Neurospora crassa OR74A: one gene and its partners. The protein of the gene in region 2 interacts with the protein of the main gene of each other region in a pairwise test. Links are inferred from orthologs where the notes say so. Each region holds a gene or a part of one and is shown on either strand. Other genes may lie near its edges.

What was found.
Region 1: the proteins of NCU03116 (region 2) and NCU06617 interact in a two-hybrid assay, tested with the Schizosaccharomyces pombe proteins (2 studies listed by BioGRID). The link is inferred for Neurospora crassa OR74A from reciprocal best matches to the Schizosaccharomyces pombe genes rng2 and cdc4.
Region 3: the proteins of NCU03116 (region 2) and act interact in binary tests that used the Schizosaccharomyces pombe proteins (3 or more experiments, as listed by UniProt). The link is inferred for Neurospora crassa OR74A from reciprocal best matches to the Schizosaccharomyces pombe genes rng2 and act1.

What each region holds. Positions count from the first base shown.
Region 1 is NC_026504.1:1,814,779-1,818,223, forward strand, and holds NCU06617 (myosin regulatory light chain cdc4), read left to right. Parts: upstream 1-1,447; 5' UTR 1,448-1,578; coding exon 1,579-1,581; intron 1,582-2,122; coding exon 2,123-2,276; intron 2,277-2,350; coding exon 2,351-2,584; intron 2,585-2,671; coding exon 2,672-2,700; 3' UTR 2,701-2,945; downstream 2,946-3,445. Other genes in the region: NCU06616 (S-adenosylmethionine-dependent methyltransferase), read left to right, coding at 44-57, 145-1,084. UniProt on the Schizosaccharomyces pombe protein: Involved in cytokinesis. Required for the formation and function of the contractile ring.
Region 2 is NC_026501.1:4,613,179-4,618,390, forward strand, and holds the end of NCU03116 (Ras GTPase activating protein), read right to left. Parts: coding exon 1,936-5,212; intron 1,849-1,935; coding exon 1,458-1,848; 3' UTR 941-1,457; downstream 1-940. UniProt on the Schizosaccharomyces pombe protein: Component of the contractile F-actin ring; required for its construction following assembly of F-actin at the division site.
Region 3 is NC_026505.1:5,085,439-5,089,569, forward strand, and holds act (actin, variant), read left to right. Parts: upstream 1-1,331; 5' UTR 1,332-1,667; coding exon 1,668-1,674; intron 1,675-1,814; coding exon 1,815-1,845; intron 1,846-1,991; coding exon 1,992-2,047; intron 2,048-2,165; coding exon 2,166-2,196; intron 2,197-2,274; coding exon 2,275-3,046; intron 3,047-3,110; coding exon 3,111-3,341; 3' UTR 3,342-3,342; exon of another isoform or gene 3,343-3,411; 3' UTR 3,412-3,809; downstream 3,810-4,131. Other genes in the region: NCU04174 (hypothetical protein), read right to left, coding at 4,084-4,131. UniProt on the Schizosaccharomyces pombe protein: Actins are highly conserved proteins that are involved in various types of cell motility and are ubiquitously expressed in all eukaryotic cells.

The DNA of each region.
Region 1 (3,445 bases), on a different chromosome or scaffold from region 2:
CACTGTTTGTGATTTGGTGCGTTTGTTTGGGTGGTCTTTGAGAATGTCCATCTTCGGGTAAGTCTCCACCTCTTGTTTACATACTTGCCTACTGACAGCATTGGCGCATTGCTTACTGTAATCATTGACATGTTTCCACGATAGCCGCTCGACGTTCTCCTCTGCTGGGTATGCTGCCTTTCGGCCCTCATATCCCTCGGTTCTTTACGACCGGGTGTTGAGATTTCACGGCAAAGAGGCCCCTTCCTCCCCATCACCATCGTCGTCTTCGCCGGCAGCTGGAACACTGCTAGACCTTGGCTGCGGACATGGCTTAGTGGCGCGCGCACTCGCTCCCTATTTCAACCGTGTTATCGCCCTTGATCCTTCGGCCGGCATGATTGAACAGGCTCGCAAGCTAACCGGCGACAACTCCAAGATTACGTTCAAGCAAGGCGGAGCCGAGGACCTTTCTTTCCTTGACGACAATGCCGTTGACTGTGTGGTTGCTGGCCAAGCGGCGCATTGGTTTGACTACTCCAAGGTCTGGCCAGCACTTGCACGGGTCGTGAAGCGCGGCGGAACCCTGGCTTTCTGGGGTTACAAGGACCACATCATCGTTGGGCGGCCGGAAACAACGCCCATCTTTGACAGGTTCATCTACGGCGAGACAGAGCCGGTGCCGGGCGTGGAAAGCATGATGTGCTTTTGGGAACAACCCGGCCGGAACATATTACGGGATTCACTGCGGGAGGTGGTCCCTCCCGAGAGGGAATGGGAACATGTGGTCCGTATTGCTTGGGATCCCAATCGTGAGACGGGCGACATTAGCGATGCTCCGGAAGAGGCCACTTGGTTGCGTCGGAGGCTCAAGTTGGGCGAGTTGGCGAGCTATATTCGCACGTTCAGTGCCTTCAGTGGTTGGGGAAGCGCCCATCCCCAGATGAAGTGCAGGGCGGACGGAGGAGAGGGCGACATTGTTGACTTGATGTTTGACGAGGTTGTTGCTGCGGTGCCGGAATGGAAAGCGGCGGGGGATCGATGGGCCGAAATCGAGGTTGATGCTATTTGGGGAACCGTTTTGTTGATGGCGAAGAGACGATGAACTGGAAAGGTAGTGTACAATTAAGTGTGGTGAAGAGACGATACTGTACAGTGGTGGTGGCTGACGTTGAACCTGCTATCCGGGCAGTATCACCGGCCCCCTTGCGTAACCAAGGTGCTCTCTGTCAGTAGATGTCTCTCTCGATTGAGCTAGCGGGCATGCAGTGCTGCTGTATCGCGAGTTGTCACCAGTGCCAGTGGGTGGTTGCCCTCCATTGGCTGCCACCGCGACCGGGATGCGGGCGCATAAGGTCGGGTACTGCGTAATGGCACAGACCAGTCAGCGCAACTCCCTGTCCGCAGCTCATTTCGCGGCGGGAAGGGAAGCCCAAATCGATCGCCCACTCCTTTTGCATCTAGCCTTGGTTCGCTTCTTGACCGTTCTTCTGAATAGCATCATCTTTCGCATCGAATCCATCAGCCAGCGTACTTGCATCGACTAGCCCTTGCGTCCTCTTTTGCGCATTCAAACGACATTCCCCCCCCTGAGACACAATGGTAAGTGGACCTGTCCCTGTTCATCCGCCGCGGGCACTGGCACGCGCGCGCGCCCCTCTCCATCCCTCCATCCCAAGTCCCAACCCCGACGCACGGAAACAGAAAGCATGCGAAAGCAAGAGCCAGGAACCCCGCGGTTGCCCATGACAACAAAGGCACAAGGTGCCACAACCTTGGAAGCCGCAGCGTTCTGCGTTGAATCGGAGCACTACCTGTAAAATGCGCCTGCGCCTGCGCCCGGCTTGAGCGTTGAGCTGCCAGGTCCTGCTTCGGCATCCATCCATCACAGACCAAAAAAACACCATTCATTTTGCCAACTTTCGATCGCATCGCTGCTCCCTTGCCGCTTGGGTTTCTGCGCCTTGTTCTCGCAACCATCGCCCTCGTCCTCTCGATTGCCGACTCTAGCACGATCGCAAAGCCAGCGCTTTTGCTTACGCTCAACCTACCGCGATTTACTACATACCCGCATTCTTGAAAGAACATTTCATTGCGACAGCGCAACTCAGGAATCATGGCATCTAACCAGTTCGACGGTCAGGCTTCTACCAACTACAAGGAGGCGTTCTCCCTGTTCGACAAGCGCGGCAACGGCCGTGTTGCCCTCGACAGCTTGGGTGACCTGCTCCGCGCTTGCGGCCAGAACCCCACGCTCGCCGAGATCCGCGAGCTCGAGAAGAACGTTGGTGGTGATTGTGAGTAATACCCGAGCGGAAACAAGTAGTTCATCTGAGATTAGTTACTAACAGATGCCCTTCTCATCCGACAGTCGACTTCGAGACCTTCCAGCGCGTCCTCAACCGGCCAGGTGGCTTCCGTGATCCCGGCGAGCCCGAAGAGTACTGCCGCGGTTTCCAGGTGTTTGATAAGGACATGACGGGTTTCATCGGCGTTGGACAGCTCAAGTACATCTTGACAAACCTTGGCGAGAAGATGACGGACGAGGAGGTAGACGAGCTCCTCAAGGCCGTTGATACTAGCTCCGGCCAGGTGAACTATACCGGTATGTCAGCCTCAGCACTTGCTGTTTGCTTGCCCTTTGCGTGAAACCTAGGAGTCTCGACTAACAATATGTGTACGACGCAAACAGAGCTTGTCCGGACCATCCTTGCCAACTAAAATATTGAGTAGAGGTGGTACGGAATGATGACGAGGGAAACTGGGTTTGGAGGTCAAACATCATGGGGCATAGTCGAATAGAAATCGCGGGACAAATCCGTCCACGGAGAAGGCGTCATATACCATCTATTACAGGGAAATCGCATGTGTTATAATCCAGGCAGGCGTCGGAGTCTTGATAAGATATGAATTTGGACATATCATTTACCGGGAACTGAAAGGCTTTCCGGACGTGTGTCTTAACCAACTACGCTAGATTGGGTTCCACGCCTGATCTTTCTTCCGTCCCCTTCTCTTGCGTGACGGAGGCGTGTTTCCAAGTATACGTTGTTTGCCCAGTACTCAGCAGTACAATATTCGTCATGAATCCCTTTTCGCTCTACTCGAAAAAGGGCTCGACCCTGTCAGTTTGCTTCGGGTAAGGCAAATGACATGAAACATCACAAAGGATGAATATGAGAAAACAAGGCCCTGGAGTTTGTATAGTCACTGGAAACAAGGCCAAACACGTTTCCGTCTTCCTTCGAATTCGGGCTCAAAGGGGATGTGGGGATTCCGATGTCCCTTTTCCGGCCTTCAGTCTGGGTACGGTCAGGAAGTGGAAGCAAGGTGTATCACTTGGCGGTATCTTTGGAGATGTTAATTCCTGTGTTGGATGACCAGAGAGGGGGTAACCAGTACTCAAATACTGCATTATCTAAAGCATCTATGTAATGTTCCTGCAGTAGACTGGTAACTTACAATG
Region 2 (5,212 bases):
TCTCCTGTTTTTGGTTCTTCTTTCCCGGTCGAGCTGGGGCAACAGTCAGTCGTCTGTGACTTTGTAAAAAGTTTCTTGTATCGCGCATTTTGCGTTCCGATCCCTCACCATTATCGTCAACATGTTCCTGGTGTATGTATGCATTGATCGGAGGGACGGATCGATGGGAGGACAACGGACAGTCTGGCGGTTGTATAGTTGGGGGTCGTTATAGCTTTGTGGATTGATTTGTTTAACTTGGAGAAAAAAAAGGTTGGGATACTGAAGTGTTGGTTGGGGGCGTGAGGAGAGGAGCCAAGGTGAAGAAAAAAAAGAGAGGGAAAGAAAGAGAAAATCAAAGGGGGAGAGGATTGACCGATCTCAACTGTTTCTCCTTCTCCTCTCATGTTTATCTATCTACCTTTGTCTCTTTGATGTAATGTTTATCTTTAGTGTTTGATTATCCATTTTCTTTTCCCCATCCCCCCCTTCCTTCTTTTAGCTTCTTCCCCTTCTTCTTCACTACCTACCTTTCTTGCTTTCTTATCATCTTATTCGTCCGTCCTACCATTCATTCATTCACGCGCTCGCGTCCTTGTGCTGCTTCTGCTCTTGTATATACTTTTCACTTTTCCATCCTTCTTTCTACACGTGTTCCTGGATGTATGTGCGTATCACTGTTAGACCATTTTCCATCTTCTATTGTTCTCGCATCGTGTGCATCTGTTATACATCTTTCTGCTTTTCTTTTTTTTCTTGCATTGCCTGGACATTGCTTTATAGAGGTGAGTGGCAGAGAGAATGATGAGATTGGTCAATCGCAGCAAGACTTTGGAAGAAGCTACGGAGGGGGGTGGGGGGAAGAAAAGAGGAAAAGAGGATATCAGGCTGTTGAGCTATAGAGAGCATATATCATACCACAGCATACCCTACCATGACTACATGATCGATAAAATGTAGTGCGATGCAGCCTTTACTTTGGATCTTCTTAGCTTGAGTATCACAACAACTCGGTTTCAACAAATAAGTATGAATGAGGGAAAGAAAAGAAAGGAAGAGTGATATAACCTAGGCTACAATGAAAAGAAAACCCAATAAAGTTCTTTGGTGGTATCAATCAAAAAGGTAAAAATAAAAAAAATCTCACAACCTTCTCCAAACCGAATAACAAAGACAAACATCAACACTGGTAATCCTCATAAGACACCGTTTGTCCGTCCATCCGTCCATGCATTCAAATGCAAAGCGATAGACTGTGTAGAGAGTAAGTAAGTAACCCAAGCCAGCCAGCCAGCCGGCTGAGAGAGATATCAATGCATGCCATCCAATGCCATCCTGTGCTCTCTCTTCCCTCCCCTGACGTAAAAAGTTCCCCTCCTCCTCCTCCTCCCAAATCTTCCATGATACTCTCTACACTTCGACTCTCACTTACTTCTTCTAATAACCCCCTCCCCTCCCCTTTCCCGCACCCTACTCACTTACTGAGTCCGATAGAACTTCTTGTACAACAAATGCAACAACAAATTCACGTTCAGCCTCAGCTGCCCCTCAAACAAATTCATAAACTGATGCGCCTCAAATTGCGCCTGTAGCAAGTCCTCGATGGGCACCAGGGCGCTGGCACCGGGCATCTGGATGTGGCCGCGGCTGCCCTCAAGACTAAAAATGCCGACCTCGTCGCACGAGATGGTGATGTTGATTTGACCCCAGTCGCGCTCGGGGATGCCCGTCCACGAGACCAGCACGCCCTTGTCCGAGAGGGCGCGGGCCGAGTACTTGAAGGAGCCGAACTTGGGGACGCGGCCGGAGCGCTCGAGCTCGCGCTGGTGGTTGTATTGCTTGGTGAAGGGGAGAAGGAAACGTTTCTTGCTGTAGGTGGGGGGTAAGTAAGGACTTGTTAGCATGCGAACCACCAGAGATGGGAGGAGACATTGGTGATGGTGATGATGTACGTACCCCTTCTTGTTCTGCAGCGTAGCCATGGCTTGCTCGATGTAATCATCGTAGCTCTTGCGCTGTTGCTCCAGATACTTTGCCTTCTCGTGAAGATTGCCGAGTGTCTGACGGACACCCTCGAGCTCTCTCTGTCTCTGAACCCTTCTCCTGCTCTTTGTGCGAATGTCCAGCGCAATGGCGTTGAGGATATCCTGGTAGTAGTTTTGCTTGGAGATACGACCCATCTGCTCCAACCTGAGGATGTTCTCGAGTGCTGTCCTCTTTAGGTCGTAGTAACTCATGCGCGTAACATCAATCATGTTCGCCTCCGAATAAGCGCCTCGGGTGTTCGAGTCGTCACCAAAGTCTTCGCGCAGAACTGTCCTCCACTTCTGCTCATCCTCCGGGGTAATTGGCTTGACAAGAATCTCAAGCAGGTTGTTACCCGTTTGCACCCGGATGATGTACAGAATGCACCTCTTGGTCTCCATAAACAGCCCCTTAGTCTCAGCTTCTGGATCCTCCATATCGTGCAGTTTGGGAGTCAGGAACAGCTGAATATCAGCGGCCCCGCCTGCGGTCATCTCATTCTCATTATTCTTGGCGTTACCGAGATCTTGAATGATCTCGCGCAGCATATCATCTCTGCTCGGGCACAGATAAGGCAACTCGGCAGCGATGAGATTGTGGATGGAAAAGATATCCGCCATCTTGATGTACAGTGTTGGCTTGTTCTTGGCGTAGAGATCGTTGAACTCGTCAATGTCGAATGTCTTCTCAGCGTCAGGTACATCGATAAGGGAATTGGTGATGTGAGCCAAGCGCTCGATTGCTTCGGCGACGAAAGCATTGAGAGGCTGGAGATAGATGTTCTCTCCGCCAAATGGTCTGCCTGATGCAATCTGGCCCAGGACTTTTGCAACCTCGCCGAGGTTACGCTTCTGGAGGGGACTCATTTGCTTTTCCGTGACTCCATATGACTCTGGGCCAAGGAGAGCAGGTTGGAGGTAGAAGCGCCAGAGCCAGTTGCTTACAAACTGGAGCACATTTTGCGGGTGGTCCCTCTGGAAATGCTGGCAGAGAGCTTCGTACGTTTGCCGGCACACAAATCTCAGGCCGTAGGGCATGCGGGGAAGCAGGTCCTCCAGGGCAAGGAGAAACTGATCGCAGATCTCTCGGAGATCCCGCAGATGATCAATGAAGAGCTCTCTGGTTTCAGGATCCTTGATGGCAACCTCACGAGGGACATCCAGAGGTCTTTGGCTGGGCCGACCGGTCCTCAACTCCTCATTGTTGATAGCAGACCGGTAGATCTGCATGGGGTCGCTTTCAAGATCCAGCGCTGGATCCTCGATAATGTTGTCTCTGATGAGGGGTCCCAAGAGATCTCTGAGATATTTCCTATCACGAGGGGATCGGGTGTAATTCTGGAGCAGCTTGGTCCAGAAGTAGTTGCCCCTCAGATAATCCTGCAGAGCGGCACATGCTTCGACTTCTTCCCTTATCGACCTGGAAATAAGCTTCAATAAGTAGTATTCCTCTCTCCGCTTTTGCGCATAGCCGAACAGCCCCATCATCAAGTGTTCAATCCGCTTTAACTCCTTTTCCGTTATTCCTTGCTCGCGGATACGCCTGAAGAGCTTAGCAAGGTACTGAGGTTGCGTCTGAAGGGTGAAGAACAGCTGCTGGTAGGACTCAAGCTTCTTGCGGGAACTCTTATTCAAAGCCTTGAGGTCAAACTGATTAGCATTTGAAATAACACTGTTGGCGAGAAGGCTGTTTGCGTGTCCGCCATAGTTGTGCTGATGTCTGACAACTTCATCAAGGGTAATTTTATTCTTGACGAGAAGTGCGATCTTGATGTCTAGCTGGTCGATGTATTGTTCCAGCATCTCGTTTTGCCGAACTTGTTGGACAACAGTCTTTCGTAGGCGCTCAAACTCTACCTCCTCATTGAAGTCAAAATCGCTGTCGTTCAGAAGATGGACAAAGTTCTTGACGGCGTTGACTGGTGGGTTCTTTCCAGATGTCAAGCTCTTGTAGGCTTCACCCTGAAGCTTGGCTCGTACGAAACTCTGAATCTTGACAACCTTTTGCATGTTCTCCCGGAAGAAGCGCTTCTTCTCCTCGTACTTGGCTCTGACCACGAAAGCCTTGGCAGCAGCCTGGAACGCCGCTACAGACTCCTCGTTTTGTTCCAGTTCATCCAAGACCATTGCAACATCGCTCCGAAGCAACATGGCCCGAGCAAGGGCTTGCAGTTCGGTGATCTCCTCGGTATTGACTGCAAGCTCATCCAACAACTCGCCACACTCCTTGCGATAAAGACATCCGCGGATGTGTGCTTGAAGGTCAATGATGTTTGGTGTCTCCTGAGTAAGAGCATCCAGATCGTCCGATAACCTCATACGTTCAAGCATACCTCGGACCATAGACTGAAGATCAATGATGGCATCCTCCGTTTCCCCGATGCTTTCAAGCTGCTCTGATATGTCCCTCCGCACTGCCGCTGCCCTAATGTGGGACTGAAGAAGGCCCATCTCAGTTGAATGCTTCTGCAACTCTTCTTTAGTAGCGTCGACGTCGGACCTAGCAACCTTGCCGCGGAAGGCAGCTTGAATAGCTGTCCATTGTGGCGCAAAGCCTTCAAGCGCTTGTAGCTGGGCATCGACCTCAGTTCTTGCTTTCATGGCCCTTACAGCAGCCTGAAGACTAGTGATGGCTTCGATGTTGCTCTCCAAGGATGCTCTTTCTTCCTCCAGATTCTTCCTCAATATCATACCACGAACTGCGCTCTGAAGTTGAGCAATCGTAGCGCCTTCGCTCTCTGTCTTTTCATGTTGCACAGCGAGCTGCTTTCGAGCCAGAAATCCTCGAAATGTTGCTTGAATGTCTCGCAGGGGTCCCGCTGCCGTCTCCAACTGTGAATGCTGCTCCCGAATCACATTGCGGACCTTGGCCGCTCTGACCATACTTTGGAGTTTCAAGACCACATCCTCGTTGCCCTTGAACTGCTCCTCGGTTTGTGTCTGCTGGCGACGAGCAAGATATCCACGCGCCGCTTTTTGTAGCTGAATCGTGAAACATGTTTGTGCATATTGCTGACGAGCGATAAATCCACGAGCTGTCTTCTGCAACTCGATCGCAAAACTTGTTTGTGCCTTTGTTTCTGCATGTCGATAGCGGGCGAGGAAACCGCGCGCTGCGCTTTGAAGCTGGACCGCGAAATTCTTCATCTGGAGCCTGTAATCCGCCACCTGGCGAGCCCAGTCACCACGAATACGAGACTGGAGATCAA
Region 3 (4,131 bases), on a different chromosome or scaffold from region 2:
TGGGTGGTGGTGGTTGTGGTGGTGGTGTTGGACTGTGGCAATACCTCGTTCTCATCCCCAATGAGATGGCGTTTCCTTGGAAATGACACCGCTGCTGGAGGTCCCCGTACCGTATGGACCCAAGTGGTGCATACCGTAGGCTACATATCTATCTCCGTCGGATCCCGGACCGGGGCGGCCATGGAGCCTTCAAGACACTCGGGCCCCGGGGCCATGGGAATTGCGATCCGGACAAGCTCCAAGAGATCGTGATCAGCCAGGCTCCAACAGAAGAGACGGTAAAGAAGACATTGGATCTTCTGGAATTGCAATCGCGGTTCTCCAGGAGGAGTAATAAACAAGTAATGAACGGGGTACGACAAGGGACAGCGACCAGGTACGACGGCAACGACGCAGGGGAGGGACATTAGGTTGAAGAAGACTGAACGCTGACACAACGTCGGGGGCGGACCCAGCCACGCACCACGCTCCCACCGTGCTCACTAGGTACTACCTACGCTACGTACAACTGAACCGTCTGTCTAGCTGCACCCGTCGAACGGCACGCAGCGGTGACGACCCCGGCCGTGCTGCGATATGATATCCTTTTACATAGTATACAAGTCAGGTCGTGTAGGTATCCAATGTAGTTAGGTAGACTGAAATCAAAGGGGATCTTGAACGGGCTGCCAGTTGCCAGACGGGCATTGATGTCAACCTAGACGTCGCCTCCGAGGTGCGGAAGCCTCCCAAAGTGTGTTGGCGGCAGGAAGATCCCCTTTGCCCTCCCAAAATTAGGCGGTGTCTCCTACCCACTTTCCAGACGGATCGCAGGCCACTCAGGAATCCACCTTGAGCCACCTCGAATCAGGCATGATACTGCGACTTGACAACTTGTCCACGAAGATGCCAGAGGGCAAGGGGGCGGTGCGGCCAGTGATTTGATGATTTAGAGTAGGGGTGTGGAAAGCGAACAGCGAGGGAGAGGGGACGGCCTGGGAAGAAGGCAGCGCAGTTACCTCTAGGTTTGTACTTGTAGTCTACTGTGGTGATCCATCCCGTCGTGAACCGGGCAACATGGAGTGCAGGCAGCGCAGCAGCCCGGCGAGGATGAAATGAATGCTTGTTGGGACCTGGAAGTCGGCCGGGCACTCACTGTCAGTACCACTCAGTGACATCGGTGTCGTCCTTGCCCGCCTTTCCTTCCTCCTCCTCCTCCTCCTCCGCCGCCAAGTCCCACAACCACGCCGTGAGGTGACCAGGCCCAGTCCAACCAACTGGACCTAGCAGCCAGCAATGCCCAGTGCAGACAGTCCCGGCCCAGTCCCGTCCCCAATGGAATCAACCGTCCCCTCCCCTCCCCCCCCCAGTCCGCCATCCGTTCCCTCGCACCTGGCACCACAGCAATCCCATCCCCTTACCTCCCCTACCTTTACCCCCCTCAATCCACCCGCCGCCTCGTACTCCCAAAGCTGACCTTAAATTCACCTCCCCTTTTCCAACTCTTCCGCCTACCGAACAACATCCAAATTTTTGCCCAAACAACGTCTCTACGTCCTTCGGCAACACCTCTCTCAGCCAAAGCATCATCGCTCCATCGATCCGGGAATCGTCGAGCGTATTTAATAACTCTTCTTCTGTACCTTTTGCTTAATCCGACACTTTTCGTCACCACCTAATCTATCACAATGGAGGGTACGTAACAACATGTCCACATTCCTGCCCAGTCTGCCCGCGCTGGCGAGCTGGTCGCCGGCGGATCGGACTTCTACCATCGCCATCTCCCTCTACTGGTTATCATGGGCACAAGCTGATTCATGCGTTCCCGCCAACAGAAGAAGTTGCCGCCCTCGTCATCGACAATGGGTAAGCTTTCCCCTCCTTTTCGCCTGCGCCTCACCGACTCCTAGGAGAAGCGTCATATTCCTCCCGCAATCGACGCCTCGCGGCCCCCCCATAGCCCGTTCTACATGGTGAACAATGACGATGGACAGTAGCTAACAACCGCCCAGTTCGGGTATGTGCAAGGCCGGTTTCGCCGGTGATGACGCCCCCAGAGCTGTTTTCCGTAAGTGTTCCCACTATTCCCGCGAGGTGCTCTTGCTTGAGACGGGCAACGTGTCAGCAGAGCTACTTGCCTCCCCGCCAAGACCCAACGTCCCAGCCATGCTAACATGTCGCGATAGCTTCCATCGTCGGTCGTCCCCGTCATCATGGGTATGCATGCCACTTTCCCCCCCGCGTCCCGTGCGCGCAACACTCCAAGACTTTCAGAAAAAACTGACAACATGCCAGTATCATGATCGGTATGGGCCAGAAGGACTCGTATGTCGGTGATGAGGCTCAGTCCAAGCGTGGTATCCTTACTCTCAGGTACCCCATCGAGCACGGTGTCGTTACCAACTGGGACGACATGGAGAAGATTTGGCATCACACCTTCTACAACGAGCTCCGTGTCGCCCCCGAGGAGCACCCCGTCCTTCTTACCGAGGCTCCCATCAACCCCAAGTCCAACCGTGAGAAGATGACACAGATCGTTTTCGAGACTTTCAACGCCCCCGCCTTCTACGTCTCCATCCAGGCCGTCCTTTCTCTCTACGCCTCCGGTCGTACCACCGGTATCGTCCTCGACTCCGGTGACGGTGTCACTCACGTCGTCCCCATCTACGAGGGTTTCGCCCTTCCCCACGCCATTGCCCGTGTTGACATGGCTGGCCGTGATCTTACCGACTACCTCATGAAGATTCTCGCTGAGCGTGGTTACACCTTCTCCACCACCGCCGAGCGCGAAATCGTTCGTGACATCAAGGAGAAGCTCTGCTACGTCGCTCTCGACTTCGAGCAGGAGATTCAGACCGCTGCCCAGAGCTCTTCTCTCGAGAAGTCCTACGAGCTTCCCGACGGTCAGGTCATCACCATCGGCAACGAGCGTTTCCGTGCCCCTGAGGCTCTCTTCCAGCCTTCCGTCCTTGGTCTCGAATCTGGCGGCATCCACGTCACCACTTTCAACTCCATCATGAAGTGCGATGTCGACGTCAGGAAGGATCTCTATGGCAACATTGTCATGGTAAGTCCCCGTTCGCTGTGGAGATGGCAGTATAGGCTAGGTCCGCTAACAGAATCGTCACTAGTCTGGTGGTACCACCATGTACCCTGGTCTCTCCGACCGTATGCAGAAGGAGATCACTGCTCTTGCTCCTTCTTCCATGAAGGTCAAGATCATTGCTCCTCCCGAGCGCAAGTACTCCGTCTGGATCGGTGGTTCCATTCTCGCCTCGCTCTCGACCTTCCAGCAGATGTGGATCTCCAAGCAGGAGTACGACGAGAGCGGTCCCTCGATCGTGCACCGCAAGTGCTTCTAAAGTGGGTGCCCTTGAGAGGTGGTTGTTGCAGTTGGAAGCGGAGCGTCGTCGGCTTACACCATGTATGTAGTTCAATAAATGGACAAATCCACGACTGTCACGAGCCAGCGCCAACTGGGGACATAACACCCCTATCTGCGTCAAGTAGCATGTCTGCATTGCGCGTGTATTCTGCACAGGTCTCTCTTATACAAAAAGTAGCGAGCGTGGTCAGAAGGGGGCTGGCGTCTCTTTTCTCTACTAGAAGACATAAATAATGGCCTTTTTTTTCTGTTTTCTGGGTGGGCGGCGACGGCTGCGAATGCGTGGGATAGGCGCGGTCAAGTATGCGGGCTTCTTGATCTTGCCAACACCCTTTCTCTATTTACTACACTTTTAGCAGCAAGATTTAGTCACCACTGGGAAATTCGAGGTTATCGTGGATGAAGAGATCATCAAAATTCAAACAGCGTTCTGTATTTCTGAGCACCTTCAGCTGCCCTTTCGTTGGTCGTGAGATACGTGCAAGCCAAGGAGAAAAGGGGAATTGCTAGCCGTCAAGGTATCGGATCCACCGTAATGTCTTATTGACTTGAAGGGGAGGCGGCCATACCTACCGAATCCAACTAAGCGATCCTCACCGCTTCAGGAACCGAGTAACAAGCAGCCGTTTCCTTATGATCAAACATGGCCAGGATTGCAAACCAGTGGCAGAAACCACAGATGGCTTTTCGCTGACACAATGGGTAGGTATTCTTACTGTCTAGTGTCTACCGCCATCCGCATTGTTTCCTCCGCGCTTCTCAGCCTT